Linked DNA regions of Macaca mulatta. The protein of the gene in region 4 interacts with the protein of the main gene of each other region in a pairwise test. Links are inferred from orthologs where the notes say so. Each region holds a gene or a part of one and is shown on either strand. Other genes may lie near its edges. The genes, in order: KPNA3, KPNA4, RBM41, HNRNPC and KPNA2.

Region 1 (6,149 bases), on a different chromosome or scaffold from region 4:
GCTAGCAATTTGAAACCAGCATGGGCAACATGGCAAAACCCCATCTCTACAAAGAACACAAAAATTAGCCGGGTGTGGTGGCATGTGCCTATAGTCCCAGCTACTCAAGAGGCTGAGATGAGAGGATGGCTTGAGCCCGGGAGGAGGTGGAGGTTATAGTGAGCTGAGATTGGGCCACTGCACTCCACCCTGGGTGACAGAGCCAGACCCTGTTTTGTTTTGTTTTTTTAAAAAGCACATTCCAGAACAAATAAAAGGAAATGTTTCCCTTCCAATATGTACTTCCTAGTTTTAGCTACAAAATCCATTCCCCTACCCAAGCTCCAAATTTCTATCAGTGATAATAATTACTCCTTCCCTTCCTCCATCTATAAACCTCAGAATAACCTTTACCCCCTTTCTCTTCGGTGATCTTTACAAAAAGAATGTGAAGGAGGAGGAAGAGGGAGGAAGAACAGCATCATCAAATCCTCATTCCAGGTTGTAGCCATTCCCAGTCTTAATTTTTTGGAAAACTCTTCCTTGCAGACCAGATAGCAGCACTATTTCTCCAAAATGAATTCTAGGTATTAACTGCCCTGTCACCCTTTCCATTGCTCTAATCATGTTACACCTCCTCTTTGCTCTGGAATAAATTCCTTCAGATCTCCCTATCAAAAAAAAGCTTCCAAGCAACTCTTTGCCACAAGATATTCTTGGACCAACACAGGCCATCTGGAAGTCTCCTCTCTTTAATATAATCACTCTTCTTTTTTACCTGGATATTTATTCACCAGTTAACACGCCCCTTTTAAGTTTGGTACATACTTCCTATAAGATTCACTAACCTCATTTTTTTTTTCCTCTCCAAAAATCTCTTAAAGTCTCTCTTGATTGAATGATAAAGAAATTTTCTTCCTCAACCCTGTCTCTACTCACAATCCCCTGGCATAACTCTATCCTTTTATTTTCTTTAACAAGTATGTGTCTTATTCTTGCACCTAACATCTTGTGTATCAGCTGGTTCTACAATTTCTAACATGTTTCAGCTTTTGTCTATCCTGTATGTGAAAAAATAGGCATCACAGCTTATCAAAGTGCATCTCACTGTTTTAGAACAGCCTGATAACCACAACTACTCAGTTACAGAGCTAAGTTGTACTATGTTTCTAATGGACAAGACTAAGCATGGTTATCTACTCTTAGACATGCCTAAATCCCCAATAAAGGCCCTTCATCAGATTTGACCCCAGTTTACCTTTCAGTCTCTCTCTCTCCTACATTTCTCTCAGGACTCTTCAATTACTGCTCCCTCTGGTCTGGAATGCCCCTTTCTTCCACCGGCCTTCTCCCGCTCTTTGCCTGGCCACCTTTCTTTCATCCTTCACAATCAGCTTACTCCCATTCATTCATTAGAAATCAACCAGAGTATCTTCCCTTTCTGCTCACCTCCAAGTAGTTTTTTGGCATGCATTTTCGGAATACTACACTGTAACAATTGTTGTTCTGCATTGTAATTATCACCCCCACTGGACTGTAAACTCCTTGAGGTACAGACTGCATCTTATTCCTTATCCCCAAGACCTAACATTGATAGATACCCATAGACAATCAGTGAATAAATAATACCCATATCCACTGAGTGACATGCACAGGCTACATAAGCACACTGAGGTTTTGTACCTAAAGTTCCAGCTGGGTGTGATGGCTAGCATCTGTAGTTCCAACACTTTGGAAGGCTGAGGTGGGAGAATCACTGGAGCCCAGGAGTTCAAGACAAGCTTGGGCAATAAAGCTAGACCCCCGTCTCCACAAAAGATTAAAAAATTAGCCAGGTGTGATGGTGTCTGCCTGTAGTCCCAGCTACATGGGAGGCCATGGTGGGAAGATTCCTTGAGCCTAGGAGTTTGAGCTTGCAGCTGAGCTAGGAGTGCCTGAGCGCTTCAACCTGGGTAAAGAAGCAAGACTCCGTCTCAAAAAATACTTTCCTCATGTAAAGTGGGGATAATGCCACACCTAACTCATACACTTGTTACACAGATTAAATAAGGTATCATGAAGCTCTTAACGCGGTGTCTGTCACATTAGAACTACCATTTGAATGTCTATTTCATGTGTTAGTTACCCTGTAGAGTCCCGAGAAATGTAATGTTGTGACCAACACCAGGCTGAATGGCTTAGCAACCATGCTCTTTTTCATGCATCTAAAAGTCACTGGTTACATTCTTATCATCAGCAAATATTTGTTTTGTACCTATTATGTGCAGGAGTCCTTACTAAGTATCACTGAGCTACCATAACACAATAATAGAGGTAAACAATGAAACAAAAACCTGTACCAATATCCAAGAGAAGGAAGAATGTTACTGGTTCTTCTGTACCAACAATATGAGTATTTTTCAATACATTTTTATTTGGAACAGGGTAGGCGTCAAGAAAAATTCCTAATGGGAAAAGTTCAAAATTAACACTTGTCATCAAGTGGACCGATAACAGGAGGCAGTTCCAAAATTTCTTGTGTCTATTCCCAAGTTTTACTTTTGCTTAGATGTATTTCTCACAAAGGATATTTAACCATGACCAGGAAAGAATATATGATCTTTGACTCATTTAAATGGGAATTCCACGGATATCTCCCTAGGTTTTTTCCTACTAGTATTTAATTTTGTAGCTCGAAAAACGGCCTGAGTTTGTCTGTTTCTCTACAAAATAGAACGCTGAATGGTGTATTTACCCCCACAACCTTCCTTAAGATAGGATAAAATACACACCTCTTAATCACACCAGCTTCTTACCAAAAATTACAAAACTGCAAATCATGTCGGCTAGTATTAGAAAAGAAGGCTGTGGCCTTAAAACTATTTTCCCCCTAACAAATCCAAAGGTCACGGTCCCAGTGAAGTTTGTGCATTATACTTACTGTTTTCAGTAGCTGCAGAGAGACCTCTAGCGCTGCCTCAACAAGCCGAGTTTGCAAATAGTACCTGCTAATGTCACCTTAATGAGACAATGGCAACATGCTGAGTAGCAACTAACTGAGTGACCGCGATGAATGTTTAGTTTTGCAACCACTTGGAAATTCTACTAGCTTGGAGCAAGAGGTACGTAAGAGGACGTATGAACCCTATGTATCCAATTTATTTTAGTAAAACGTGTCAAAGAAATTGTATCACTCTATGCACACCCCACTCCAAGAAAGGCTAAGAAAACAAGTCCTATAAACGGAGGTCAGAACAACCTCTTTTCCGAAGCCTGAACACAATAGATGGCAAACTATTGTCCACCTTCAGCTCGCTCCAAATGCCAGCAGTTGCAGGAGTATGAGCTAGAACAGCTCGGCACGACTAGTCCAAAGACGAGCACTGGAATATAAGAAAATGGTCCTGGCGCATCCTACCCTCCCCCATCCATCACCCTCAAACAAGTCAGTTACCCGGCTGGTCCCCACCCCCCTCTGCGGGCCGCCACCGCCCGCCTGGGCCCGGCTAGCAGAAGGTAGCAGCCGGGACCGGCAGAGGCGAGGCTCCATGTGCAGCCGCGCGGGAGGCGCAGAGGGGGCTGCACCGGGCGGAAGGTTGCACCAGCGGCGGGCGCAAGCAGCGGCCGCCCCCTCGGCTGTGCGGTCGGCGGGCCGGGGCGGCAGCATCCCCGTTCATTCGGGCGGCCCCGGCCCGAGGACCCCGCCTCAGCTCCACATCCCCTCCTCGCCGACACAAGGCCGCGCCCGCGTGACGGGGCCGAAAACCCCGGCATTTCCCGGTCGCCGCGCCGGCAGCTTCGGAGGGTGACTGCAGCCCGGCCCGCGTCTCACCGCCCGCTCCGCCCAACCCGGGGCCGCGGTGACGGGAGGCGGCGGCCAACTCCGGCCGACCACAAGCCGACGAGAACCAGCCCGGCGCCGGCCCCCCGCCCCTCCCCGCGTCGCCGGCCCGGCGCGGCCAGGCGGGCCGAGACCACGGAAGCACACTCACTTCCACATCGCGGCCCTTGTTCTTGAAGCTCTTGATGCGGTGGTTTTCCAAGCTGGGGTTCTCGGCCATGGCTGCGCGCGGCTCCAGCGGCGGCTACTCCTGCGGCTGCGGCGGCGGCGGCGAGTCTCGGCGCGGGAGGGGGAGGAGGAGGAGAGCAGGAGGGGGGAGGGTGAGAGGAGAGCACGTTCCGTGACGCCTCCGAGCGCGAGGTGGCAGTAGCGCCGGGGGAGGCGCGGGCAGACTGCCGGGCCGGGTGGGGCGGGAACAGTGCTGAGAGCGGCGCGCGCCCGTGGAGGCTGGCGACACGTGACCGGGGGCGGCGACCGGCTTGGGCGTTCGCCGGGCTGGACGTGCCAGTTGGTTCTCGGGATGACCCTGCCCTCTTTCCCTGCTAGGGCTCTCCACAATCCCTGAGTGCTGCAAGTCTGGTGTCAGAAATGGAGCCGGACCTGGCGGCTTTTACCGCCCCTCAGGCGCGGGTGGGGGGAGCGGTCGTCAACTACAGTTCCCAGCATGCCACGATCCGCCTGGGGTAATTCTCCACGCCTAGTGCGAACGAGGAGAATGCCGGGACCCTTGCGCGCGCGGCTTTTTGCGCGCCGCGCTCAGATTGCTGGGCGCAAAGCTCCGCCCCCACAAGGCGGCCTCTGGGCGGGGAAGAGAGGGGAGCTTCCCTGGCACCTTGCGCCCTATCAGGAGGAAGAGGGCGGAGCTTTCTGGGAGCGCACCTCGCTGCGGGTAGGTAGAAAATCAGAAAAAGAACAACCGCGGGTGCTTCGCAGTCTCGCTTTTTTGGAGGTCTTCCCAAATAGCAGCCACCTTCATTCGCTGTGTCCATGCTCTGCTTCAGTTTTATAAATAGCATTTATTTCTAGCTGACATGTACATGTGTATCTACGTGATACGAGTGTTTACGTGCGTTACCTGGCTGCCCGCACGGGAATTCAGCTCAATGAGAGCAGGTACTTTGGTTGAATTACTGCTGAATCTCTAGTGTCAAAACAATGCCTAGCACGTCGTAGATACGCAATAAATACTTGTTGAAGTGGCGCTTTAGTGTCGCCCAGTTTCTCATCATCCTCCCAACCCCGGTTCTGCAACCTTCACTCTGGCAGTCCCTGTATTTCCATGCCCCCAACACTTCTTGTTCTACCACCACACATAATCTTAGCCTTCAGGCAGCAGCCAAGCCCTGGGTCGCACACTTTCCTGTGTAGCACTCCCACTCCCTCCGGGGGCATCGAAGGAATGAAACAGGGAAATTTGGATGGATTGCACTGATAAAGAACTGCTTTCGGCCGGGTGCGGTGGCTCACGCCTGTAATCTCAGCACTTTGGGAGGCCAAGGCGGGCGGATCACAAGGTCAAGAGACCGAGACCAGTGTGGCCAACCATGGGCCACATGGTGAAACCCCTTCCCTACTAGATATACAAAAATTAGCTGGGCGTGGTGGCGCGCGCCTGGAGGCTGAGGCAGGAGAATCGCTTGAACCCGGGAGGCGGAGGTTGCAGCGAGCCGAGATCGCGCCACTGCACTCCAGCCTGGCGACACAGGGAGACTCTGTCTCAAAAACAAACAAAAAAAGCTGCTTTCTGGAGCAGGTGAGCTTCATTAGCTTGTATGTTAATTAATTTTCATAATCTATGGTAGACATGAGCAGGTATGTAATGTTGTAGTACTTATAATTTAATTGAACTGAGGTCAAAAGTTGGTAGGAATATACCATGACGGGATCAAAAAGGACAATCTTTAAACCAAAAGGGCCTTAAAGAGCTTGAGGCTCTGGCCGTGCGCGGTGGCTCAAGCCTGTAATCCCAGCACTTTGGGAGGCCGAGGCGGGTGGATCACGAGGTCAGGAGATCGAGACTATCCTGGCTAACATGGTGAAACCCCGTCTCTACTAAAAATACAAAAAAAAAAAAAAAAAACAAAAACCTAGCCGGGCGTGGTGGCGGGCGCCTGTAGTCTCAGCTACTTGGGAGGCTGAGGCGGGAGAATGGCGTGAACCCGGGAGGCGAAGCTTGCAGTGAGCCGAGATCACGCCACTGCACTCCAGCCTGGGAGACACAGCGAGACTCCGTCTCAAAAAAAAAAAAAAAAAAAAAAAAAAAAAAAGAGCTTGAGGCCCTCAGAAGCCTTTGGTGGCAAAGCTATGTCCAGGGGCATTCGTCTTTGTGAGTGGGGGGTGTGGCCTCTTG
Region 2 (6,394 bases), on a different chromosome or scaffold from region 4:
GAAAAAAGAGCCACTGAAACTAAGGGAGTAAGAGAATCAATTATACTGAATCCTATTAAATCCCTTCCCTCCCCCCAAACAGAAAAGCTGAAGGTGATAAAACGCTCAGAGAATTGCCAGGCATCTTCCTAACATTACCTATTAATCTTCACAACACTCATGAAGCAGATGTCAAGTACCTCTAGTTTTACAGATGAAAGAACCATAAGACTAAGCGATTTCCCCCAAGGTCATACACAAAGTTAGAGATCAAATTAAACTAAACTCTAGGACTTTGTACTCTTCATCATTTCTAATCAAATAAACTGTTAGATCAAAATATGCTACAATTACCTCTCCCTAAATGCTATACTCCGTACATGGGCTGTTCCAGTAAGGTAGCCACTAGCCACATGTGGCTATCAAGCACTTGAAATGCAGCTAGTCCAACTGGAGGTATGCCATAACTGTAAAATACAAACTGGATTTTGAACGTATGAAAGGAATAATATGAAACCTCTCAATTATTTTACACAAATTAGATGTTGCAATGGTGTTCTGGATGTACTGGATTAAGTTAAATTCACTGGACAGCACTGGCCCATAATTCTTTCCAAAGACTTCCCATGAAATAGATGCCATCACAAGATCCCAGTCAAAAAGCAATTATTTTCTTAGAATTTGCTGTATTCTACATACATTATGTAATGCAATGTAGTAACCATATCTAAAGGGTGATAAGTGTTTAGAGAGATGCAGCATACATGTAAGTAACAAATACACAAAATAGACCACCGTAGTGTTTTCTAAACATAAAAAAGAATGTTTCTATCTCATTACAAGTATATGAGATTTTCAGTAAGCCACAGTGTGGACAAAGTATGACTTTCCATTAGAGTCATATGTTATTTCCTTAGGTGGAAAAGTGAAAATATTCCTACCCCTAATGTATGCAAAAGGATATTAAAGTCACCAGAGGACAACCATAAGGCACTATGAATTTCTAAACAAACAAACAAACAAACACCCTCGTTAATGTCAATGTATACTTGTTTTTTTAAAGTCACACATCACAATCTTCTTCTAATACAGCCTCAGCACTTAATCTGATTTTGACTAAAGTGCTAAAAGATATGAGGTAGGAGGAAACATCAATTTAAAAAATAAGGATAACTTCAGAAAGTCTGACAATTCCACCAAAGGTTGAACGCCAGTTTCCATATGATCTAGCAATTCTATTCCTAGGCATATAGCCAAGAGAAATAAAACATACGTCCACACAAACATGTTCTTAGCAGTATTATGTAAAATAGCTAAAAAAGTGGAAACAATGAAAATGTTCATTAACTGATGAACGGATAAATAAAATGTGGTATATCCATGAGCTGGAGGATCATTAGGTCATAAGGAGAAATGAAACACTGATACATTCTTGTTACGACATGGATAAACCTTGAAAACATTACACTATGGGAAAGAAGTCAGTTACAAAAGAGCACAAATTGTACAATTCCATTTATATGGAATGTCCAGGATAGGCAAATCTAAGAAGACAAAAAACTGGTTGCCTGGGGCTGGGGTAGTTGGGAATTGGAGAGTGACTGTTAATGAGTACAGGTTTCTTTTTGGCGTGGTGAAAATGTTCTAAGATTGATTGTGGTGATGGCTGCAAAACTGCGAATACACTAAAAGCCACTTTAAGTGGGTGAATTGTATGCCATGTGAATTACATTTCAATGAAGCTGCTAGAAAAATGAAGCCAGAAATGTAGAGGAAAAAAGGGTTACAGGGATCTGTCAAGCACCTAATTGCTCTTTTTCTGGATTCTGTAATTTTGTGGTAATTATCAGTTTTTAAGTTTTATCATTTGTGATTTTTTTCTCATTCTAAGTATTCATATTAGTAAAAAACATTTTCACCACCACAAGTAAATTTACTGAAAAATCATTGTTATTTAAGCAGCTCATTTTTATAGCATGCGAATTATCTCAATAAAGATGTGACATCTTTGTATTAAAAAAGGGATCACAACGGTAATATGTTAACCTTAAAAGAACCACAGAATTAACAGCCCTGGACACTTAGTACTCCCTCAAATTATGAAACCCACTAAAACGCATAAACTACTTTAAAGATAATATTAACAGCTTTGTAAAAAGCCCAAAAAATATTTCAGTCAAGCAAACGCTCAAGTTCAGAAATGTCATGGGAAGTTGAAGATTTCATTACGAAAACATACCGAGGAACAACATAAAAAATACTGCTTGACCACTTTCCCTAAAAGCTAAACTCGTGATTAAGATGCAGAAGGGAAGTATTAAAATAAATCTATTTATCTAAACTATTAAAGCTGAAGGGAAGAAGTCTTCTATCAAAAATCTCAGTGGGGTGTGTGGGTATGCGTGTGTGAATGCATGTATTTAAACCATACGCCCCATGTAGACAATCTGGGGAGCAGCTGTATCTAAGACAATGATTTTTTTTTTTCTTTTTTAAATAATCAAACGTGATGGTGCCATTCCCTAGCCCACCCCATCCCCCACTACCACCACCAGCAGGTGGAGGGAAAGGATACTGTAGACTAGAGGATGACAGCTTTGTATAACCCTTTGGACTTTATATGTAAGAATGCAGCTGGTGGTCTCCTCTCAGGAGGGGGTAAAGAGATTTGTGGACAAGCTGAAATAAGGGGTATCCTTTGCCTGGAAGAGGGCACACCGTGAGCCACATCTTGAATCAGCTATATCCAGAGTAAAACACAGGCCGCTGGAAGGCACTGTTAGCATCACCAGGATGGCCTCTCACGCCGGGGGTGTTTTTTTCAACGGAGAAGTTGTCCTGTAGTTTGGATATTGGGGGGAGGCAGGGGTAAAGCGGGAGTCGGGAAGACCAGAAAAAATGCCTTTAAGTGGAGACGCCTCAGGCCTCGCTGAGGAAGTTCAGAGCCCCACTCGGTCGCCACACGCTCACCCTCCCACCCCCACCGCCCTCCTTCCCGCAGCGCCAGACGTCGGTGCCCGAGCGAGAGCCGGAATCTCCGCCGCTGCCAGGGAGGGCCGCGGCCCGGGCCGGGCAGCGCCGACCGCACACGCACGCCTCCTCCGCACGCGCCGCGCCCGGCCTCCCCGCCGCGCGGCCCGACCCCTCGCACCCGCACCGGGCCGGCTCTGCCGGGCAGGCCTAGGCCGCGCCGGCCGTACCCGGGCACCTCGCTCCCCGGCGGAGGCGGAGCAGGCCCGACATAAACTTCCCGGCGCGCTAGCAGAGGCGTCACGGACGGGCCGGCCCCCAGCGCCATTCCCCGAGGCCCGGAGGCGGCTCCCGCCCCTACTCCCCACACTCGGGGTCCCGGCGGAGACCGGCCCCAGGCCCACGGCCCCCACCCCTCCGGCGTCGTCCAGCAGTTTACCTCCAAGTCGCGGCCTTTGTTCTTGAAATTCTTGAGCCGTTGGTTGTCCAGTTTCTCGTTGTCCGCCATGGCCGGGCCGGTGACTCCTTCCCCCGCCCGGGCCCCGCGGGATCCGCCCCAACCACCGCGCCGCACCGACACTCCCAGGAACCGGGTCGCCGCCTGAGCTGCTGTGCTCGCCGCGCCGCCGCTTCCTTCCTCCTCTCACCTGCCTCCGCCGCGGCCTTCTCCTCTCCCCGCCCGCCCCCCCGCCCTAACCCCAGCGCGACTGCAGCTCCGGCAAAGACAACTGTGGGGCCGGGCGGCGGCAACGGCGGCGGAATGTGCTGCCGGCTGAGAGGGGGAGGCAGCCTCGATCTGAGGGCCCCGGAGCTGCGGCCACGCCCATCGCCTCCAGCCCAGCTCGCCCATTGGCCAACCAGGCTCCGGTGCGTTCGACCAATGGGAAGGGGCGATGGAGAGCCGGGGCGGAAAGAGCGAACGGAAAGGGGAAGCGAACGACGCTGGGAGGAGCCGGCTCGGGGCCGGGAGGGGTGCGGCTGGGGTAGGCAGGGAAGGACCACGTGCCTTCGGAGAGATGGGGAGGAAGCGACAGAGAAGTACACTTCAGGGGAAACCAGCAAGGGGAAGGAGAGGCCGGGGAACGCAGCAGGGCGAGTTGTTTTGCATCACTCGTCCGGGAAGCCCTAGATGCAGGGGTCCAGGGTCGAGACTGCGTTAAAGTAACGTTCTTCTCTCCCCGGGCGCGCCCTGTCTTCCTGGGCATTCCTTGCGCTCTCTGTTCGCTTTGCAGAGAGATCTGAGCTTCGCTCTTTCCCAGGTCGGACGCTCGCAGCTCCGTTCCCGGGCTGGGGCTCCCTGCCGTCCAGGGTCGAGTCTGGGGGCCAGGACCTGCAGGGATGACGTGAGTTGAGGAGGCTCAGCGGAAAGCGACAGGAACGCTGGGTGGAAAAGGAAAGGGCCCAGTAGACGTATCTGATTTATCTTCTGTGACTAAGCGCCCGCAACAGGTAGGAATTTAGGCAGAGCTGGTGATCCTTGGACAATAGCACTTCCTAGGTAATTCGTCTTAGAAAGTTAAAGAAGCTGCTTGACCACAAAGTATGAACTTCTGGAGGGCGGAGCCCGTGGCAGCTGACAGGGAATATTGTCTGTTGAGAAAGGAAATGAATTCCAGGGATACCAGGGACAACAACATTACCAGAGGCAGAAATGACACGAGATACAAAAGAACGTATTCAAAAATTTCACAAAACAGAAATGGAAAATTATCTTAAAATATATTGAAATATCAACGAATAACATCTCAAATGTCCAGGGATATGTAAAGCAGCAACTCTGGTCGGAAGCAAGGAATCGAGGCGTTGGGTGTGTTTAAACTTGGCTAGGCAGGGAGAAGAGACCCTGATACAAACTCCTTCAGAATCGTTGACTCCCGGTCCTTTCTAGTGTATTTTTTGAGCAGAACAACGTGCAGAGATAAATGTTTAAAATGCATATGTTTCTTAGGGAAACACTTTTAAAGCCAACAGAGGGGAATTTTTTTTTAAGTTAAAATGGAAGAAGTCAGTGGGTTTAACAGATGTGAACAACTGAGTTTCCTTTGGGGGAGAGGTAATGAAAAGAGCCGGAGTACTTTAGGAATCACTTTGGAGAGGATATTGTAGTGGGGGAAAGGAAAGTAAAAACTTAGGAAGCAGAGTAGTACCTTTAAAGTCGTCAATACTTTATAGACCATCAACTGGGCTATGGACAACAGAAGCTGTGCCTGGGAATAACTCACACTGAAGGTTAACTTGAATATAAATTTAGAACAGATCTTAAATACAAATGATGATGTTCATTATAAAATGTTATTCCTCAAAGAGTCATTTAATTGAAGTAACATTGTATTTGCATACCAGAGCACTGATGTTTTTCAAAATGTGTTTAGGATAAGAAAATTCACTTGAAAAGCTGGAGTATGTGTGTATTTTGTGCCATCATGGATTTTATCATAAGCAGTGTTCAAGAAAACAAATTACCAGCGAATTCCCACCCTATGAATAAAAGTTACCTTGTCAACGTATCAATAGATGAACATTTTGTTACTTCTTGGAATACATGTCATGGTAGCTTTCATGATGAAGTTTATAGAAGTGTCCGTTACATGTCTTCGTGTCTCCAGCTACAACTGAGTGTCTCTGATGATTAAACAACAACCCGAGTTTTCTCTCTGCAGAAGACTCCTAAAAAAGGGTTGCAATTAGTTACCAACTCAGAAAGATGCAATACAAATAGGAAATAACCGCAATTTATGATTTTATTTGTTTATCTAAAATCTGTCTTCCTCCCTAGACAGTAAGCTCTCTGAAGTTAAGAAGCATAGTTGTTTTGTTCACTACTGTATACCCAGCACCTAATAGTACTTGGCACATAAGTACTCAGGAACTATTTGTCAAATGCAAGAACGTATGCCCCGAAAGTAGGAGTCAGGAAAACCAGAAAAAATGCCTTTAAGTATTACAGAAATGCCACAGGCCTCCACTTAAATTGAAAAACAAGCTAACACCTCTTGATAAAAATGTGGATTGAGATCAATAAGCAGCTTCTCCACTCCTTCTGGAATCTCCACCTGGTTCAGCCTGCCTGCCTCCGCCATGTCCATCAGGGTGACCCAGAAGTCCTATAAGGTGTCCACCTTTGGCCCAGGCTTTCAGCAGCCACCTCTATATGAGTGGGTCCAGTGTCTGCACCAGCTCCTCTAACTTCTCTCCCTCGTGGGGAGCAGAAGCTTCTGGGGTGGCCTGGGCAGAGGCTATGGTGGGGCCAGCAGCATGGGAGGTATCACCACCATCACGGTCAACCAGAGCCTGCTGAGCCCCCTTAACCCTGAGGTGGACTCCAACATCCAGGCTGTCCACACCCAGGAGGAGGAGCAGATCAAGACCCTCAAGTTTGCCTCCTTCATAGACAAAGTATGGTTCCTGGAGCAGCAGAACAAGATGCTGGAGACCAAGTGGAGCC
Region 3 (5,148 bases), on a different chromosome or scaffold from region 4:
ACCAGAATCGGCAAGTTATCTTTTACCCCATAGCATGTTGTGAGGGAGGGTATTTAAAAATCATATTGGCTTTTAGACAGCTTTCAACTGACCTGCCTTATTTTAACCCCATCCCTTCACATTTATTTCTGAAAGTAAGTGAAATTATCAGTTCCTGAACTATTTAAGGATTCTTAAGTGGTGACAGGTGTGTTCTTGGCTTTCTCCACTACCAGTTTAAAATTCAACTTTCTTCAGTGTGCTGAGTTGGTTCCTGCTCATCCAATTATTTTTCATCTTCCAGATTATTATTGCTGTTGTCTCCTTTTCTTGTTCCTCCTGACCTTGTTAGTTTGTGTGTGTTTTTTTTTTTTTAAGTGCCCATAGTTTTAGAGAGTTTTCTGGATGGAATGAAATTAAATGAATGTATTCAATCCACTATTTTTATGTGAAACTAATTGTAATCATAATGAAAGAATTGCCTTACGGCTGGGCATGGTGTCTCACGCCTGTAATCCCAGCACTTTGGGAGGCCAAGGCGTGTGGATCACCTGAGGTTGGGAGTTCGAGACTAGCCTGGACAACATGGTAAAACCCCATCTCAACTAAAAATACAAAAATTAGCCAGGTATGACTGTAATCACAGCTACTGGGGAGGTTGAGGCATGAGAATTGCTTGAACCCAAGAGACCAAGATTGCAGTGAGCCGAGATTGCGCCACTGCACTCCAACCTAGGTGACAGAGTGAGACTTTGTCTCAAAAAGAAAAAAAAAAAAAGAATTGCCTTACCTCCTTTTTATGATATTTTGGTTGATTCTCAATTTGTTTTAGGTGTTATACCTGAAGAACCTTAGCCCTCGGGTGACTGAAAGAGATCTTGTGTCATTGTTCGCTCGGTTCCAGGAGAAAAAAGGACCTCCAATTCAATTCCGAATGATGACTGGACGAATGAGGGGCCAGGCTTTTGTCACCTTTCCCAGTAAGTAGTTTCATCCAGATGATTACTCAGTTGCCCCTCAGTTCGCTAGAGACTACCTATAACCTCTCTAATTTAGATATAGTCCTTTGATTTCTCCACAGCATGTGAGAACAAGAGAAGGAACGAAAAATATGTTTTCAGTATTTCTTTCTCTTTCCTCTCCTCCATTGACAGTGCATGGCCACACTACCCCAGTGTCCTCAGGTTTTCCCAGTCTTGGTACTTCCTTCTTACCCTACCAAAATCTGTACTCCCTTTACTGACAACAGTATTTCTGGTCCAAGTTATAATTAGATTACTCATTAATTAGTGTATTAGTATTCTGATCAGAACACATGTACTTGCCTTATGCACTGTTCCTTTAGGACTAAGTGAGCACAAGCTAATATACTAATTTATTACTTATTCATAATTAGTAGATGATGATACAGTCTTCTAATTATTATTTGCATATTAATTAATGCATAGCTTCTAATCCAACGGGAAGAATAATATAAGAATTTCAGTTTCTGTGACAGACCAGATAATACGTTGTTTTGGGGGAAGGCTTTGTAGCCTTCATTGTACCTCTCATTGTCCCTAAAGTATCGTCATTTCTAAATAGCCTATTAATCTATATGTAGGCAAGTGGTTTTACACATGAGTACTGCCAAACTCCCCTCCATTGTTTTCATACAGTCTTGTGTCATCTTTCCTATCATACTGAAAGTTTCTAAATGCTCTGTAACTGTGGTTTTCAGTCTTTTCAAGTGTAAGAACCCCCTTTAAATTTAAAAACAAGTTTATGGGCGCCCCATATAATACGATGTATTAATTGAAAAAATACATAATAAAAAGGCTTTTAAAGCAAGTACTTTAAAATGTATAGCTGTTTTACTAATCTTGAAAGCTATACACTTAAAAAAATTTGTAGTACATATATATATGAAACAAAATTGGTCAGTCTACTTGTCTACTTATGATTCCACAAACTCCTGGCCATAAATCATCCCTTCCTTATTTCTTACATCCAGACTCTTAGACCCATAAGTTGAATACTCCTGGCATATGTATATATTCTCACATTTCAACCTTCCATATGCCTATAAGGGTTCTTATACTTATTTATCCCAATAAGGTGGCCCAGAACCACTCTCCCACTGAAAAAAAAAAATAGAAGTAGCAAAGTGCTCTCAATAACATAACTTTTTTTGCATTACTCATTTTGAAAATGATTGATTCTAATAATACCTATAATCTGTTACCTAAGGTAGAGGCTTATATATAATTACTAATAGCTTAGACTTCTTTAGCACACTACCTATATTTTTGTTTCTCTACTTATTTCTTTGAATTAGGAGACACCCTCAAACACCCATTTTGAGTTATTATTATTATTATTATTATTTTTAGTCACTAATTTAATTTTGCTGAATAATGCAAATGGGAGATTATAGAAAAAATGATAAAAATCAAATGACTATATGGCCTTATAGCTTACATTTAACTCCAAGGCAAAATAACCTAAACTAGACCTGGAATAGAATTGAATTGTTCAGTCCTATGTAAATTGAAATTTTTTCTTTCTCTTTTAGATAAGGAGATAGCATGGCAAGCATTGCATCTAGTAAATGGATATAAACTACGTGGGAAAATATTGGTGATAGAGTTTGGAAAGAACAAAAAGCAACGGTCAAATCTCCAAGCGACTTCTCTCATATCATGTGCTACAGGTAGCACTACAGAAATCAGTGGTAGCTAGAATATATATAGATTGTGGGTCCTGGATGGTCTTTCTTGAATTGGAATCTTGGATCTAGGATTTATGTATAGACACCAGTTTGTTTGGAGTTGAAGAGGAAAAACTAACTGAGGGAGGGGAAAAAAAGTAATTAGGACAACCCCTTTCAGCTTTTGGAGAGAACTGGTAGAAAACATTTTCTTTTATATAATTGAAGACTATATAGGACAGATGATATGCTGAATATGAAGGGTAGAGTGCAAAGAGTATTATTTTCTCAGGATAAATTAAAAAGGATTATTCCTAAGGATTTTTTAAAATCTTTATAATTTTTCTGGGGTCCTCAATATTTGTCTCTAGAGATAACATTCTTTCTTAGACTGCTTCCTATATACAGAAACAAAAAACTAATTAAATGTTGAAATATTTATTTACTAGAGGCCATTTGTCCATATTTCATCCACCTAGTAAATAAAAGAGCAGGACCCCAGGCCTAAGCATCAACAAATGCTATTAAGTCAGAACTATCAGCAGTAATAGTAGGTAGTTTCATAAGTCAGTGGACATATTTAATGAATGCTTCCTCCACAAGTTATCAGTCTTCAAAAAGCTATATATTTTTCTAGTGAAATATTTTAGATCAAAATGTTGTTGTTCTGATAGCCATTTAAGCTACCAACCATTGAGTAGCCATTGAATTCAAAGCAATAAACATTGATTAAGTGTCTAATATATGTTAAATATTAGGCATATGAATTTTAGAAGAGGAACATACTAGCAAAGAATACCAAAGGGAAATGGAAAGAAAGAGTTCTCTAGAAAAGAGGATGCCAGTCACAAATCCCCCAGTTGTTTGTTTATGGTTGCTGGAAAATAAAAAGACTATGCAGAGAGGAAGTAGTACAAATTGGAGTCAGACCTGTACAGCCACACTTAACATTGTGTGACCTTGGCAAGTCACTTAATCTGAGCCTCCCATTTTTCATCTATAAAGTAAGGATAATAATGCTACTTACCTCAATGGGTTGTGAAGATGAACTGAGATATTATCCAGGCTGAAGAACAGAAAGAAAAAAAATGAATAAAATTAAACAAGAGTATAGAACCCGTGTGACACCATTAAGCATTCCTACATATTTCTAATAGGAGTATAGGAAAAAAGGAAGAGAAAAAAAGGAGCAGAAAAATATTCTAAGAAATAATGGCTCTAAATACCCCCAATTTGATGAGAGACATTAACCTATACATCCCAGAAGAAAAAGAAATTACAAACAGATACATCATAAGAAAAATGCTAAAACCCAAAAACAAAAAGAAAATCTTGGCAGCAATACGAGAAAAATGAGCCATCACTTACCAAGGAACCCAAATAAAATTAACAGTTGACTTTCCCTCAGAAACAGTAGCAGTGGCAGTGGAATAACACATTCAAAGTGTTCAGAGAAAATAACTGTCAACCAATAATCCTATATACAATAAAACTGTTTTTCAAAAATGAAGGTGAAATAAAACATCTCTCATAATCAAAAACCAAGAGAATTTGTTGCTGGCAGACCTGACTTACTGGAAATACAAAAGGAAGTTCTTCAGGCTGAAAGCAAGTGAACTCAGACAGTAATCTGAATCTACACACATGCAGAAAAAGAGCACAGGCAAAAATAATTATGTAATTATCAGAAACAATCTATGCATTTTTCTTTTTTCTCTTAACTAATGTAAAAAACAATTGTATAAAACAATATGTATATAGTTGCATTGTTTGGCCTATAACATATAAAATATAATATATTTGCCAATAACAGGACGAAGAAGCTGAATGGAAGCAAAACTGTCTTGTACTAAAGAACTGACTCCAGATAGTAACACAAATCCACAGTAACAAATGGAGAGAATGTGAAATAGGAAATAAGAAGTTTAATATAAAAAAACTATAAACATATACTTATTCTTCTCTCAGCTTCTTTTAAAGATGTAAAATTAAGTAATTAAAATAATGTGTGTTGGGTTTATAATGTATAGAAATAACCTGTATAACAATAATACCACAAAGCAGGGGATGGGTTTATATAGGAATAGGGTTGTTACATTGGAATTAAGTTAGTATTTATCTGAAGCCTATTCAGTTTAGTTAAGATGTGTATGGTAAGCCCTAGAGCAACCACTAAGGAAATAACTTTTAAAAATCAAAAATATTATTAAAGAAATATAAATATCACATTATGAAATACTCAGTGCAAGAGAAGGAATGGAGAAGCAAAAAGCTTGAGGCATATCAAAAACAATAAAATGGCAGTCATGAATCTTCCTGTATCAAAATAACAATAAATGTGCATGGATTAAACAATACTATAAAAGGCAGAGATGTCAGAAACAAGTCTGATTCAACTTCATGCCATCTATTGGAGACACACTTTAGATTAGAAGATAGATTAAAAGTAAAAGGATGGAAAACAAATATATCACACAGAC
Region 4 (5,693 bases):
TCTTAAGCACATCATTCTATTTCTTGTTTAGTATTTGCTATCATCAGTTCTAAATCTATTACCCAAAGCCACCCATAACCCAGTCCCTAGTCACCACACTCAGCGAATTCTTTTGTATTTTTAGTAGAAACAGGCATTATGAAATAATGCATTAAAATCATTATCACCCTACCTAATAATCTACTTAAGGTTATTTTTTTCTTTTGGAGGAAAGGGAGTATGTTTGGAAACATCTTTGATGTTCATCACCACAAACTAGAAAAACAAAATGGTTCTCATTAATAGCTGTTTAGCAGAAAGGCAAAACACTTTTAACATACCTATCATAATAGTCCCGTTGAAAGTCATAGTCCAAGTCAAAAGAGGAGCTGAAAAATAAATACCGAAAAGGGTTAATTTGGAAACGTTGCTACTAATTCATAACATCAGGTGAGGGGAGAACCATGCCAAATAAACCACAACAGATAGATCAACAAGATTAGCACTGAATGATCCCCAATCATTCATACAATAAATCACTCAATTCCAATCACCTTAGACCACTGGAAATGTAGTGGTCAAATTGGTAATTCAGGTTAAAATTCACTAAGATTTCCACATACGACATAGTTAAACTGAACACTGAAAAACAGAATGGTAAACTAAACATTCTTATACCACACTTCTTCCCTCTCTTACTCTCTGGTGTCTTAGAAGCTCAACGATCCTGTAGAAGTATTTCAGGCTATGCTATAAATATCAAACTACTCCTAAACATCAATAGCAAAAACCTCAGGGATTTTTAATTCTCTAGTAATTTTCGCTAGGGCAAAAGAGAGACATATTAACACAAAAATAATGAAACCTTATTTACACACAGATAAAACACAGTACACTTAACCCTCCCCACATCCAGAAAACAGATAGAGAAGATGCCCACTGATGGACACAATGCAGTTATAAATAATAAAGTTTCCGGACCTGAGTAGAGGGGACGGAGAAGGGTGTTCTGTTACTGACCCGTACATCTCCGCTGCAGATCGTTTCACACCTGCTTTTCCTCGGTTCACTTTTGGCTCTGCAGCCAGGTTAATATCTGAAAAACAAAAGCAAAAATTTTAGTGACAACTTTGTATCCAGGTAAAACAAACTACAAAGTTAATTTTTTTATTTTTGAGACATAGTTTCGCTTTGTCGCCCAGGCTGGAATGCAATGGTGCCATCTAGGCTCACGGAAACCTCCACTGCCCGGTTCAAGGGATTCTCCTGCCTCAGCCTCAAGAGTAACTATGACTACAAGCGGGCACCACCATGCCCAGCTAGTACAAAGTTTAGAAAATCACAGACATAAAAATTAGAAAATATGAAACAAAACAACTCATCTTTCCTATTTTTTTTTTATTTTATTTAAGAGAGGGTCTCACTGTCATACAAGCTGGAGTGCAGTGATGCAATAATGGCTCAATACAGCCTAGACCTCCAAAGCTTGGGTGATCCTCCCATCCAAGTAGCAGGCACCACCAACGCTGGCTAATTTTTCTGTTTTTTTCTTTTTTTTTTTTTTTTTTTGAGATGGAGTCTCGCTCTGTCGCCCAAACTGGAGTGCAGTAGCCGGATCTCAGCTCACTGCAAGCTCCGCCTTTCAGGTTCACGCCATTCTCCTGCCTCAGCCTCCCGAGTAGCTGGGACTACAGGCGCCCGCCACCTCGCCCGGCTAGTTTTTTGTATTTTTTAGTAGAGACGGGGTTTCAACGGGTTAGCCAGGATGGTCTCGATCTCCTGACCTTGTGATCCGCCCATCTCAGCCTCCCAAAGTGCTGGGATTACAGGCTTGAGCCACCGCGCCCGGCCAATTTTTCTGTTTTTCATAGGGACGAACTCTTGGGGTCAAGTGATCTGCCTTGACCTCCCAAAGTGCTGGAATTACAGGTGTGAGCTACCATGCTGAGCTTCATCTCTCCTTTTAATATTAAAAAGGCTCATAAATTTTTACAAGGCTAAGACTTCATCTTCTATGTATTTGCACTCTGTTCTGTACCACTAAAGTGTTCCTGAGACATAACATTAAGTCTGTCTTTGGTACTCTCCACCCTCAGATCCCACTTTAACTCAACTCTCCCCATTCAAGGCACTGACTGTTCACTCAGTTACTATTACAAGAGAAAACTATCAATGGTTACCTTTCCAAGAATGGTTCAGTTCATTCCGAATTATTACAAATATATTAAAATATACGCCAATCCACAAAACAATATAGTGCAGTGTGACACCCTCAAATCATCCTCAAAGGCAACTTCAGATTTCCCTTATAAGTAAGGATTAGCTGTACTGCATGTAAAACATCCGGGGTTAACAACTGCTTTCTGAATAATTCATAAGTTGCTTAAATAACCTTTACATATATCAAAAAAATAAAAGAGCAAAGGGAAACAACCCTAGTTTTCAAATACAATTTGTAACACGTAAGCCCAGCTACCTACCCTGCCACCCATGACCTTCCAAACAAGAATTCATCTTCTCCTTGTTCTAAAAACCCCATGTCAGAAAGCCAATTCAGTTTTTTAACTTCCCAGTCGTGCTAAAGCACTCAGTCAACAATACCTCCATTTTCATATATACTGCTTTAAAATTAGTCTCATTTTAATACACACATGCCCCAAAATATACAAATTCCATATATATATATATTTTTAGACGGAGTCTTGCCCTGTTGCCCATGCTGGAGTGCAATCACGGCTCACTGTAACCTACGCCTCCCGGGTTCAAACAATTCTCCTGCCTCAACGGCTTGGATTACCGGCGCCCGCCACCACGGCCTGCTAATTTTTTGTATTCTTAGTAGAGACGGCTTTTCCCGGTGTTAGCCAGGATGGTCTCCATCTCCTGACCTCATGACCAGCGCAACTACGCCTCCCAAGATGCTGGGATTACAGGCATCAGCCACTGCACCTCGCCAAACGTGCATATCTTAAAACTTAATCCTTTATATCTTACCTTTTTATACAAAAGGACCTCATCAAATGAACAACTGAAAACCGCCTGAGGCCAGGTACAGGGGCTCACGCCTGTAATCCCAGCACTTTGGGAGGCAGAGGCGGGAGAATCACCTGAGGTCAAGAGGTGAAGACCAGCCCGGCCAACATGGTTAAACCTCGTATCTACCAAAAAATACAAAAATTAGCCAGGTGTGGTGGTGCACTCCTGTAGTACCAGCTACTCGGGAGGCTGAAACAGGACAATCGCTTCAACCTGGGAGGCTGAGGTTGCAATGAGTCAAGACTGCACTCAAGCCTAGGCGACAGAACTAGACTGTCTCAAAAAAAAAAAAAAAAAAAAAACAACAACAACAACAAAAATTGAATATACTGTCTATTTGCTGAACACCATTACATGAATAACCTTCAGGTTTTGGTATGTTAACCTCATTTACAATTCTGACTTTGAAACCATATAGTGTTTTAAAACTAAAGATAGAATTTCTGAAAATGCAATCCAGTAAGATGTAAAAACAATGAAATAGACCCAAATTGTGTATCTGGTTGGTTACATAACATTATCAGAGAATTGTTTCATGTAACTCTAACCTATCGTGCTATGAGTCAACAGACATAGTAGAATGTATACAAAGAATAAAACCACAAATATAAAATTGAAAATAATCATCTTAATTTTGTAAAAACACAGGTATGATTATTTTGAAACTGAGGCACAAAGTACACATAAAATGGGAAGTTAAAACAGACATCTAGTACAACTAATCAAATAAACATGTGGACGCTGCATTCTGGCTTGAATAAACCAAATCATAAGTAGTACTCTGAGGTGTCATTACATTTGAAAAGACAAGAAAATCTAAGACTGAGCCAAACTGCAACTGGCCCAACAATGGAGCGAAACCCCAATGAGGAGACAAGCAGTCAACAACACTAGAGGGGTCCACCAGTCTGCTGTGGGGAGGATATAACCATTTAGGCAACATTTTAACACTGTGAAGTGTCATTCCCAGGTCGCCCTACTCACAACTGCCAAATGAGAGTTGTCCTGTCTCTACTACACAAAATGGTACAATGAAGAATATCCTTTACTTAGCCAATTATAACTATAAGCCTAATGTATTTTTATTAGACTGAATAGGCACAATATCCAGAATATCTCAGGCTGTCAGTTTTACAGACATAAAAAACAACAAAAACAAAAACAAAAAAATATGAATCGAAAAACTCAGGCCTGATCATCAATGAAAAAATTAACTTAATGGAGACCTTACCTAAAACCTGGCCAGCAATCATTCTGCCATCCTCTCCTGCTACAGCAGCCCGGGCATTTCTCTCATTAACATATTGAACGAAGGCAAAGCCCTTATGAACAGAGCAGCCCACAATTTTGCCATACTTCGAAAAGATTGCCTCCACATCAGATTTCTTGACCACAAGAGTGTTGAGATTCCCAATGAACACACGGGAGTTCATGGAGCGAGGATCTGTCTTGTTGGTAACGTTGCTGGCCATTGTGTTTGATGATAAGGTTTCTCACAAAGCTGAAAACTGTAAAGCAAAAAAAAGTATTCAGGTGAACAGATGCTAAAAACAATATGCCTTGATAAAACATTCTCCACTCTCACTCTGAAACACTGTTAACTGCCCAGAGTATCAGGCAACTTAAAGGGACTCACAGCATTATGTATTTACTAATAAATTCAGAGACTCCAGCCTCTGAATATGTTCTAGAAATTCAACTTCTTCCTCTTCATTCTATTTCAGCGGCACTAAACTCTCAATTACCAGGAAAAAAAAATTTTCCCTGGCAGGTCATTGGCAATATAAATTTCCTTGGACATAATTCCAAATGGCCCTCCTCTAATAACTGAAGCAAATTAGAACTGCCTAAATTCTCTGACACCAGTTTCTGCTGTTTTTCACATTACAGGTCATGCTAACTGTTCCCTGCCATCAATAATCTTGATTCACGCTGCTTTTATTTTTACCGGTTCTGTATATATACACACAGCATAGCAAATGTCAACTTCTGTCCCAAGCCATTCATTAGCTAGATTAATATGGATAGCTTACACTTACCCATTAAGTATAATTTTCTTCAAAAGGCAATAAACAGAATCAATTCATTTATACTGGAAATGCCTATTTCCAGATACTTCAATTAATTGCAGGATGCTTTAGATACGTAAGTATCAATACCATTTTTTTTACAGACTGCAATGACTCCAAGGCTACTTTTTATATAACCTAAAATATAGGACATTTAATAATATCGGATGGTGATGATGATAAAACTAGCCAGTGGAACACGGCATGAATCAAATTAAGGATCGGGGAACTAAAGAAAAATACACAACTTTCCACAAATTATTTAAAACCAAAAATTATCTGTCTTTACATATGTGATGGAGGCTCAATACTATCATAACAATATGAAGATTCACAATACCATCTCAGGTCCTGTATAAGTGAAAATGTTTTATTTCATTCGTTCAGCATTGTTTCCTGCCTCTTCCCACTCCAACCCCCTATCTTGAACAAGACTTAAAAACATTCTTAAGATTTCCCCTTCATCCCTTTGAAAGGTTCCGATGAATCTCAAAATATTCCAGTATTTGTTATCCTTCCAATCCTCAAGTGAATCAGACAAACTAGTTCTTATGGATGATGTAAAAATGTCTAATGTATACATACATGTACATAAAAACAGGTAGTATA
Region 5 (6,372 bases), on a different chromosome or scaffold from region 4:
TAAAAAGACAGTATCCCTGTCTCTCCAGGAGCCTGACGCCTCACAGAGGAAATGTGACAAGGAGACAAACAGCGTAAAACAAGTGGTAAATAGATGGGCTACACAGCATTTACTCCCCATTTTGGGTGCAGAACCAGGTGCTAGAGAATCCTGAGAAAGAAGTGTCTTTCCTGCTAGACTAAGGAGTGCTATAAGGAGAAGATGAGCTTTGAGTATTAGTACCCTAGATATAGAACATAGGTAGTATTCAATTAAAAAAAAAAAAGATAAATGTGGAGTGCTAAAGGAAGCATAATGTGGCTGGGCGTGGTGGCTCACACCTGTAATCTCAGAACTTTGGGAGGCCAAGGCAGGCAGATCACCTGAGGTCAGGGTTCGAGACCAGCCTGACCAACATTGCGAAACCCCGTCTCTACTGGAAAAAAACAAAAATTAGCTGGGCATGGTAGCACATGCCTGTAATCCCAACTACTCCAGAGGTTGAGGCACGAGTATCGCTTGAACCCAGGAGGCGGATGTTGTGGTGAGCCAAGATGGTGCCTTGCACTCCTGCCTGGGCAACAAAGCAAGGCTTCATCTTAAGAAAAAAAAAAAAAAAAGGACGCATATTGTGAGAAAAAGATGTAGGAAAGTGCCCAGATGAAAGATAAATTTGAAAATCTAAGATAGGTCTACTTTATGGAAGGCCTTCATGGAGCAGGGATTTTTATTTTTACAGATAGTGTCTCACTGTCACCCAGCACAGAGTACAGTAGTGCAATCATAGCTCGCTGCAACCTCAAAATCCTGGCAAGTGATCCTTCTGTCTCAGCCCCCTGAATACCTAGGACTAAAGGCCAATGCCACCATGCCCAGCTAACTTTATTTTTTATAGAGACAAGGTCTTGCTACGTTGCCTAGGCTGGGCTCAAACTCCTGGCCTCCAGTGATCCTCCCATTTCAGCTTCCCAAAGTGTTGGCATGAACAGGCATGAACCACCATGCCCAGCTGGAATATGAATTTTTTTATTTTTATTTTTTTCCTTGATTGTTGCCCAGGCTGGAGTGCAATGGGACGATCTTGGCTCACTGCAACCTGCACCTACCAGGTTCAAGCAATTTGGAGGATGGATTTTGAGGAGAGAAAACACATGTCTAAGGCAGTACTTTAGGAAAAATTTCAGGAAAATAATATATGGCACAGAAAGGAGGAAATGATAACTTAGGAGGCTACCGTAAATATTTCAGAAGGAAAGTCCTGAACAAAGCTGGTGACAAATACAAAAAAAGAGAGAATACCAAAAAAGGCAGAAATAAACCAAAAACGGGCAGGGCCTGGTGGCTCACGCCTGTAATCCCAGCACTTTGGGAGGCCAAGGCAGGCATATCACGAGGTCAGGAGTTCAAGACTAGCATGGCCAACATGGTGAAATTCTGCCTCTACTAAAAATACAAAAACAGACCGGGCAGTGGCTCACACCTGTGATCCCAGCACTTTGGGAGGCCGAGGCGGGTGGATCACGAGGTCAGGAGATCAGAGACCTTCCTGGCTAACATGATGAAACCCCGTCTCTACTAAAAATAGAAAAAAATTAGCTGGGCAGGGTGGTAGGTGCCTGTAGTCCCAGCTACTTGGGAGGCTGAGGCAAGAGAATGGCGTGAACCTGGGAGGTAGAGCTTGCAGTGAGCTGAGATCACACCACTGTACTCCAGCCTGGGCGACAGAGGGAAACTCAAAAAAACAAAACAAAACAAAAATACAAAAACTAGTCAAGCATGGTGGTGCGTGCCCGTAATCCCAGCTACTCAGGAGGCTGTGGCAGGAGAATTGCTTGAACCCAGGAGGCAGAGGTTGCTGTGAGCCAAGATTGTGCCACTGCACTCCAGCCTGAGCAACAAAGCAAGACCCCGTCTAGGGAAAAAAAAAAAAAAAAGAATAAACCAGAAACTGGTTGGCTCTGGACACAGTGGTCAGGTCAAGGTACCCAGTTAGCAGCTAGAAATGCAGGGAAGTCTGAAGGAAGGTCAGAGCTAAAGGAAGATCCTAAATCAGCTTCAGTGGATTATGGAAGGCAGGAAAGAAGACAATTACTAATTGGGAACAGAGAAAAAGATCTTCACAGATAGTTACAACCTAAGGCTAAAAATGTTAAGTTTACTTGAATTTCTAAGAAAAGTTCCTACTGATTTTCTGGATTTCACGTAACTCATAAACCAAAATACATTTTTTACCTGGTTGTTGCGGTTTTCCTGCAGCGGAGAAGTAGCATCATCAGGAAATGAGCTTACGTTTCTCCTCTTCAGCATCTGGTCATCCTTCTTAGCTTTCCTCAGCTCCACATTGACCTCTATTCTGCGACGCCTCATTTCCTTGAGAAAAGATAACATGCCGTTTCACCTATCACATCAGTTTTTGTTGCTAAGTGAGGGTATTTTTAAAAAGATCCCTAAGTTTTCACCCCTTTCCAAATGTCCTCCCATTTAAACACCACCACAGGAAAGCAACAGAAGGTACTCACTGTACTGTCTTTTCCCTTGTTCTTGAATCTGTGAAGACGGGCAGCTGGTGTATTAGCATTCTCATTGGTGGACATGGTTATGAGACAAAGGGAGAAAGCTAAAAGATGGGCGAGGAGAAAAAATATTTCCTTTATCATTTTCCTTTGTCAATAATAGTACCAAATAAGAATTGAATTATCAAGCATCTACTGAATCCACACCTGTATACTAGAGGGGGGATCATCATGCTTTCAGCACTATGAAATAGCTTTACCCAAACGGGAACTGTCCCCCTTCCCTCTGAAGCGCTGAGACTTCCTGGAGAGGGCTGTCCATCAGAAATAGAATGCAAGCTATATAAATTGAAACTTCCTAGTAGCCATACTTTTTAAAAGGCGAAAAGAAACAAGTGAAACTAATTTCAATAATTTATTTTACTTAACCCAACATATCCAAATAGTATTTCAACATATATATTTCAATATATAAAATAACTGACATCTTTTACATTCTTTTTCCATACTCTATCTTTGAAGTCTTTTGTGTACTTTAAGCTTACAGCGTATTTCAATTTGGACTAGCCACGTGTGTCCACCGTTTCTGACAGCCTGGCTCGATACTCCAGAGTCCCTAATAGTTAATCCAAGGCAAAGCAGGGGAACCAAGTTAACTTACAGCTAAAAATTATGTGCCAGGGCAATAAATTCAGATTCTCAGGAGGCTCGCACTACTTTACTGTCTTTACTTGGCCAAAATAGGTGCAGATTCGAAAACTAAAAAAAATTTGCTTCATCATTACATTATGGTCAACATTAAAAATGCAGTGCCGCATGTCGCATATTTGATTTGCATTTCCAGAGACTAGGAGCGAATGCACTTAATTAGGACGACATCAGCTGTGCGTCATTCAGAAGACGACAAAAGTCAAAGCCCTCCTTACAATTTGCTATCTTTGCTTTCATTACGCTCGCCTACGACTTGGTGGCACAGCCACCCCGGGGCCAAAGTGTCAGAGACAGTGCTCCCAACTGCCACCCCCAGCCCCTGCCCCTGCCCCTACGTCGGGGAAGATGCAACAAGAAAGGGGGAAGCGAGGCCAGGGCCGCCACGAGCCCTCCCGGGACATTCGCCCTCAGGCCTGGCTCGCTCCGATTCTCCCGGCCGCGACGCGTTATGGTCTCCGCTGCCGTTTGAAGAGCGTCGGCGCCCTAAACCCGCAGACCCCGCGAAACTCAGCCGCCTGGTCAATGAACCAGTCGCCCCCGAGGCCTAGACAACGCGGGAGGCTGAGCCAGGCTCGGCGTGGACCCGGGGCCTCCTTCCCCCCACCCAAAGGCGAACGCCGCCCGCGGGCAAACCGTTAGCGCTCGGGCCGAGCCGCCGCCTGAGTCTGTACCTGAGAAGCGGGCCCGGGCTTCCACGGGAGGCGATGCGGGGAATCAGCGGCTGTGGGACGGCTGCGCTCAAAGGGTCCACCTCGACTCAGCTCAAAGACCGTGTGGCTCGTGCAGCCGGCCGGCGCGATTTAAATTTCCCGGTGACTCCGCATTCCGATTGGCTGGTTCGAGCCCAAGCTGTGTGCCCATTGGTGGATTTGAAAAACACGTTGAGAGGGGAGGGAGTCATAGGGCTTAGGGGCGAGTGGGAGGGGGGAAAAAAAAAAAAAAAGGAGGATGGCATCGCGAGATGAGGGAGCAGACGGGCGGTTCCCGAGCGCCTGGCAGGGCGGAGCGGGAGGACTCCAGATCCCGTCAAGCAACGCGAAGGGGCGGTCCCTGGGCCTTTCGTGTTTCCACTGGGTTGAAGCGCGCATGGTCCCTGGGCGTTTTCCTGGGCGAGAGCCTTAAACAAATACCGCAAAATGATTCTCAAAGTCATTATTTTAAAAAAACTTTGTTGTTGATCTTCATGAAAATTAAAAAATGATAATTAGTAAATAAGTAATCTTTATAGAAAGACATATTGCTTTGCATTTTTTTCCTGTTACGATATCCGAAGAACTTGGCAGGGGTTTCTGGCCACTATGGGAGGGAAGATTTATGTTATATTTTTTAGTTTAGTTTTTTTTTTCAATTGCGTCGTAAAAGACTGTATAGAAGCCGCAAATATAGTAACAAAATATTTCTTATTCCTGTTTCTCCAAACACTCAAGTTTTGTATTTTTAAATAATTTCAAATGCAGCAGAATTGCAAATCCTTATCCAGATTTGCCAAATGTTAACACATTTGCTACTGCTGTCTCTATACATATATATGTATACCTATGCACATGTGTACCTATGTGTGATTTCAATATGTTACTTTTTGAAACATTTGAGAGTTTCAGAATCATGTCCTTTTTCCTCTGTTTCACGGTGTATCTCCTAAGAAAAGACATTCTCTTACATAACCACACTGCAGTCGTCAAATTCAGAAAAACTGAAATTTCATGCTGTTGTTTAGTATGTAGTCTGTGTTCAAGTTTTGTCAATTGTTCCAGTAACATTCTATGCTCGTTACACATTTCTGAATTTTGCATTTTTTGCCATATGCTCAAACGAAGAAACAAAACAAAGATGGTCAACAGAGCATCAGGATTATGGGCCATTTTTGTTTCTGCAATTTTTTTGTGTTCTAAAAGATTACATTTTAGAAAAGTTGTCATGGTTTATTTCTTACTATAAATAAATTCAAACACCAAATTTGTCCATTCTTGCAGTCATTAATGCCAGCCTCATTCATTGTATAGCAGCCAGAGTTCATAAAGGGTTGCACCTACTCTTAATCAGCATAATCCCATCCCCCTAAATGCAAGAATGTGGAAGGAATTCACCCCTAAACCAATCACTGTGAGGCATTCTCTCAGCTACTGAGAATGGTTCAGGGGCAGGCACATGACCTAAATTCATCCAGTTGGACAGCCCGTGCCTTTTGTTTACTGGTTGGAGGTAGGAAAGCAGCCTCTGTTCTTCTGAACTGAGGGATGTGAGTCCTAGAAATCTGAATAAGAAAACTGTAGGGAAACCTTGAGAGGTCTGACCCGCTCTATCTCTGAAGGTTTGCAATTATGAGATCCGATACACATTTCTTTTGTATTGTCAAGTTGAGTTTCTTCTCTTTTTTTTTTTTCTTTTTTTTTCTTGTCTTTGATACAGGGTCTGGCTCTGTCACCCAGGCTGGAGTGGAGTGGCACGATCTTGGCTAACTGCGACCTCTGCCTCCTGAGCTGAAGCCATCCTCCCACCTCAGCCTCCCAAATAGCTGGGACTACAGGTACATACCACCACGTCCAGCTAATTTTTGTATTTTTTGTAAAGACAGGGTTTCACTATTTTGCCCAAGCTGGTCTTGAACTCCTGAGCTCAAGCAATCCACCCACCTTCGCCTCCCAAAGTGCTGGGATTACAGGCCTGAGCCACCATACCAAGCCAAGTTGAGTTTCTTTTGCTTGAAAATACTGACTACTATGTGTCCAGAAGTGTTGAGTGTTTACCATGTATTAATACACTTGATCTTCACAACTGTGAGGTAGTACTGTTATTTGCTCTATTTCACAAAAGAGAGCACTGAATCACAAGTGTTTATGTAACTTGTCCAGGGTCACACAGCCAGTACATGGCAAAGACAGGATTCAGCCATAACAGATCCTGGTTCCAGGATCTGTATTCTGAACCGCTATTCTGTACTTGCACCTAAAAACAACCTGAAACAGAAGTATAATGCCCAAAATTGCCTTTGAAAGATACGATATAGTCGGGCACGGTGGCTCACACCTGTAATCCTAGCACTTTGGAAGGATGAGATGGGCAGATCACCTGAGGTCAGGAGTTCGAGACCAGCCTGGCCAACATAGGGAAACTTCGTCTCTACTAAAAATACAAAAAATTAGCTGGGCGTGGTGGCGGTTGCCTGTAA

What was found.
Region 1: the proteins of HNRNPC (region 4) and KPNA3 interact in binary tests that used the Homo sapiens proteins (3 or more experiments, as listed by UniProt). The link is inferred for Macaca mulatta from reciprocal best matches to the Homo sapiens genes HNRNPC and KPNA3.
Region 2: the proteins of HNRNPC (region 4) and KPNA4 interact in binary tests that used the Homo sapiens proteins (3 or more experiments, as listed by UniProt). The two-hybrid records come from large-scale screens. The link is inferred for Macaca mulatta from reciprocal best matches to the Homo sapiens genes HNRNPC and KPNA4.
Region 3: the proteins of HNRNPC (region 4) and RBM41 interact in binary tests that used the Homo sapiens proteins (3 or more experiments, as listed by UniProt). The two-hybrid records come from large-scale screens. The link is inferred for Macaca mulatta from reciprocal best matches to the Homo sapiens genes HNRNPC and RBM41.
Region 5: the proteins of HNRNPC (region 4) and KPNA2 interact in binary tests that used the Homo sapiens proteins (3 or more experiments, as listed by UniProt). The link is inferred for Macaca mulatta from reciprocal best matches to the Homo sapiens genes HNRNPC and KPNA2.

What each region holds. Positions count from the first base shown.
Region 1 is NC_133422.1:29,023,046-29,029,194, forward strand, and holds the start of KPNA3 (importin subunit alpha-4), read right to left. Parts: upstream 4,052-6,149; 5' UTR 4,020-4,051; coding exon 3,951-4,019; intron 1-3,950. UniProt on the Homo sapiens protein: Functions in nuclear protein import as an adapter protein for nuclear receptor KPNB1. Binds specifically and directly to substrates containing either a simple or bipartite NLS motif.
Region 2 is NC_133407.1:63,732,336-63,738,729, forward strand, and holds the start of KPNA4 (importin subunit alpha-3), read right to left. Parts: upstream 3,748-6,394; 5' UTR 3,458-3,747; coding exon 3,389-3,457; intron 1-3,388. UniProt on the Homo sapiens protein: Functions in nuclear protein import as an adapter protein for nuclear receptor KPNB1. Binds specifically and directly to substrates containing either a simple or bipartite NLS motif.
Region 3 is NC_133426.1:113,863,177-113,868,324, reverse strand, and holds the end of RBM41 (RNA-binding protein 41), read left to right. Parts: intron 1-811; coding exon 812-959; intron 960-2,533; coding exon 2,534-2,700; 3' UTR 2,701-3,932; downstream 3,933-5,148. UniProt on the Homo sapiens protein: May bind RNA.
Region 4 is NC_133412.1:94,077,022-94,082,714, forward strand, and holds part of HNRNPC (heterogeneous nuclear ribonucleoproteins C1/C2), read right to left. Parts: intron 4,560-5,693; exon of another isoform or gene 4,524-4,559; 5' UTR 4,488-4,523; coding exon 4,247-4,487; intron 1,076-4,246; coding exon 1,000-1,075; coding exon of another isoform or gene 961-999; intron 369-960; coding exon 321-368; intron 1-320. UniProt on the Homo sapiens protein: Binds pre-mRNA and nucleates the assembly of 40S hnRNP particles. Interacts with poly-U tracts in the 3'-UTR or 5'-UTR of mRNA and modulates the stability and the level of translation of bound mRNA molecules. Single HNRNPC tetramers bind 230-240 nucleotides.
Region 5 is NC_133421.1:77,785,240-77,791,611, reverse strand, and holds the start of KPNA2 (importin subunit alpha-1), read right to left. Parts: upstream 3,979-6,372; 5' UTR 3,875-3,978; intron 2,597-3,874; 5' UTR 2,574-2,596; coding exon 2,499-2,573; intron 2,350-2,498; coding exon 2,212-2,349; intron 1-2,211.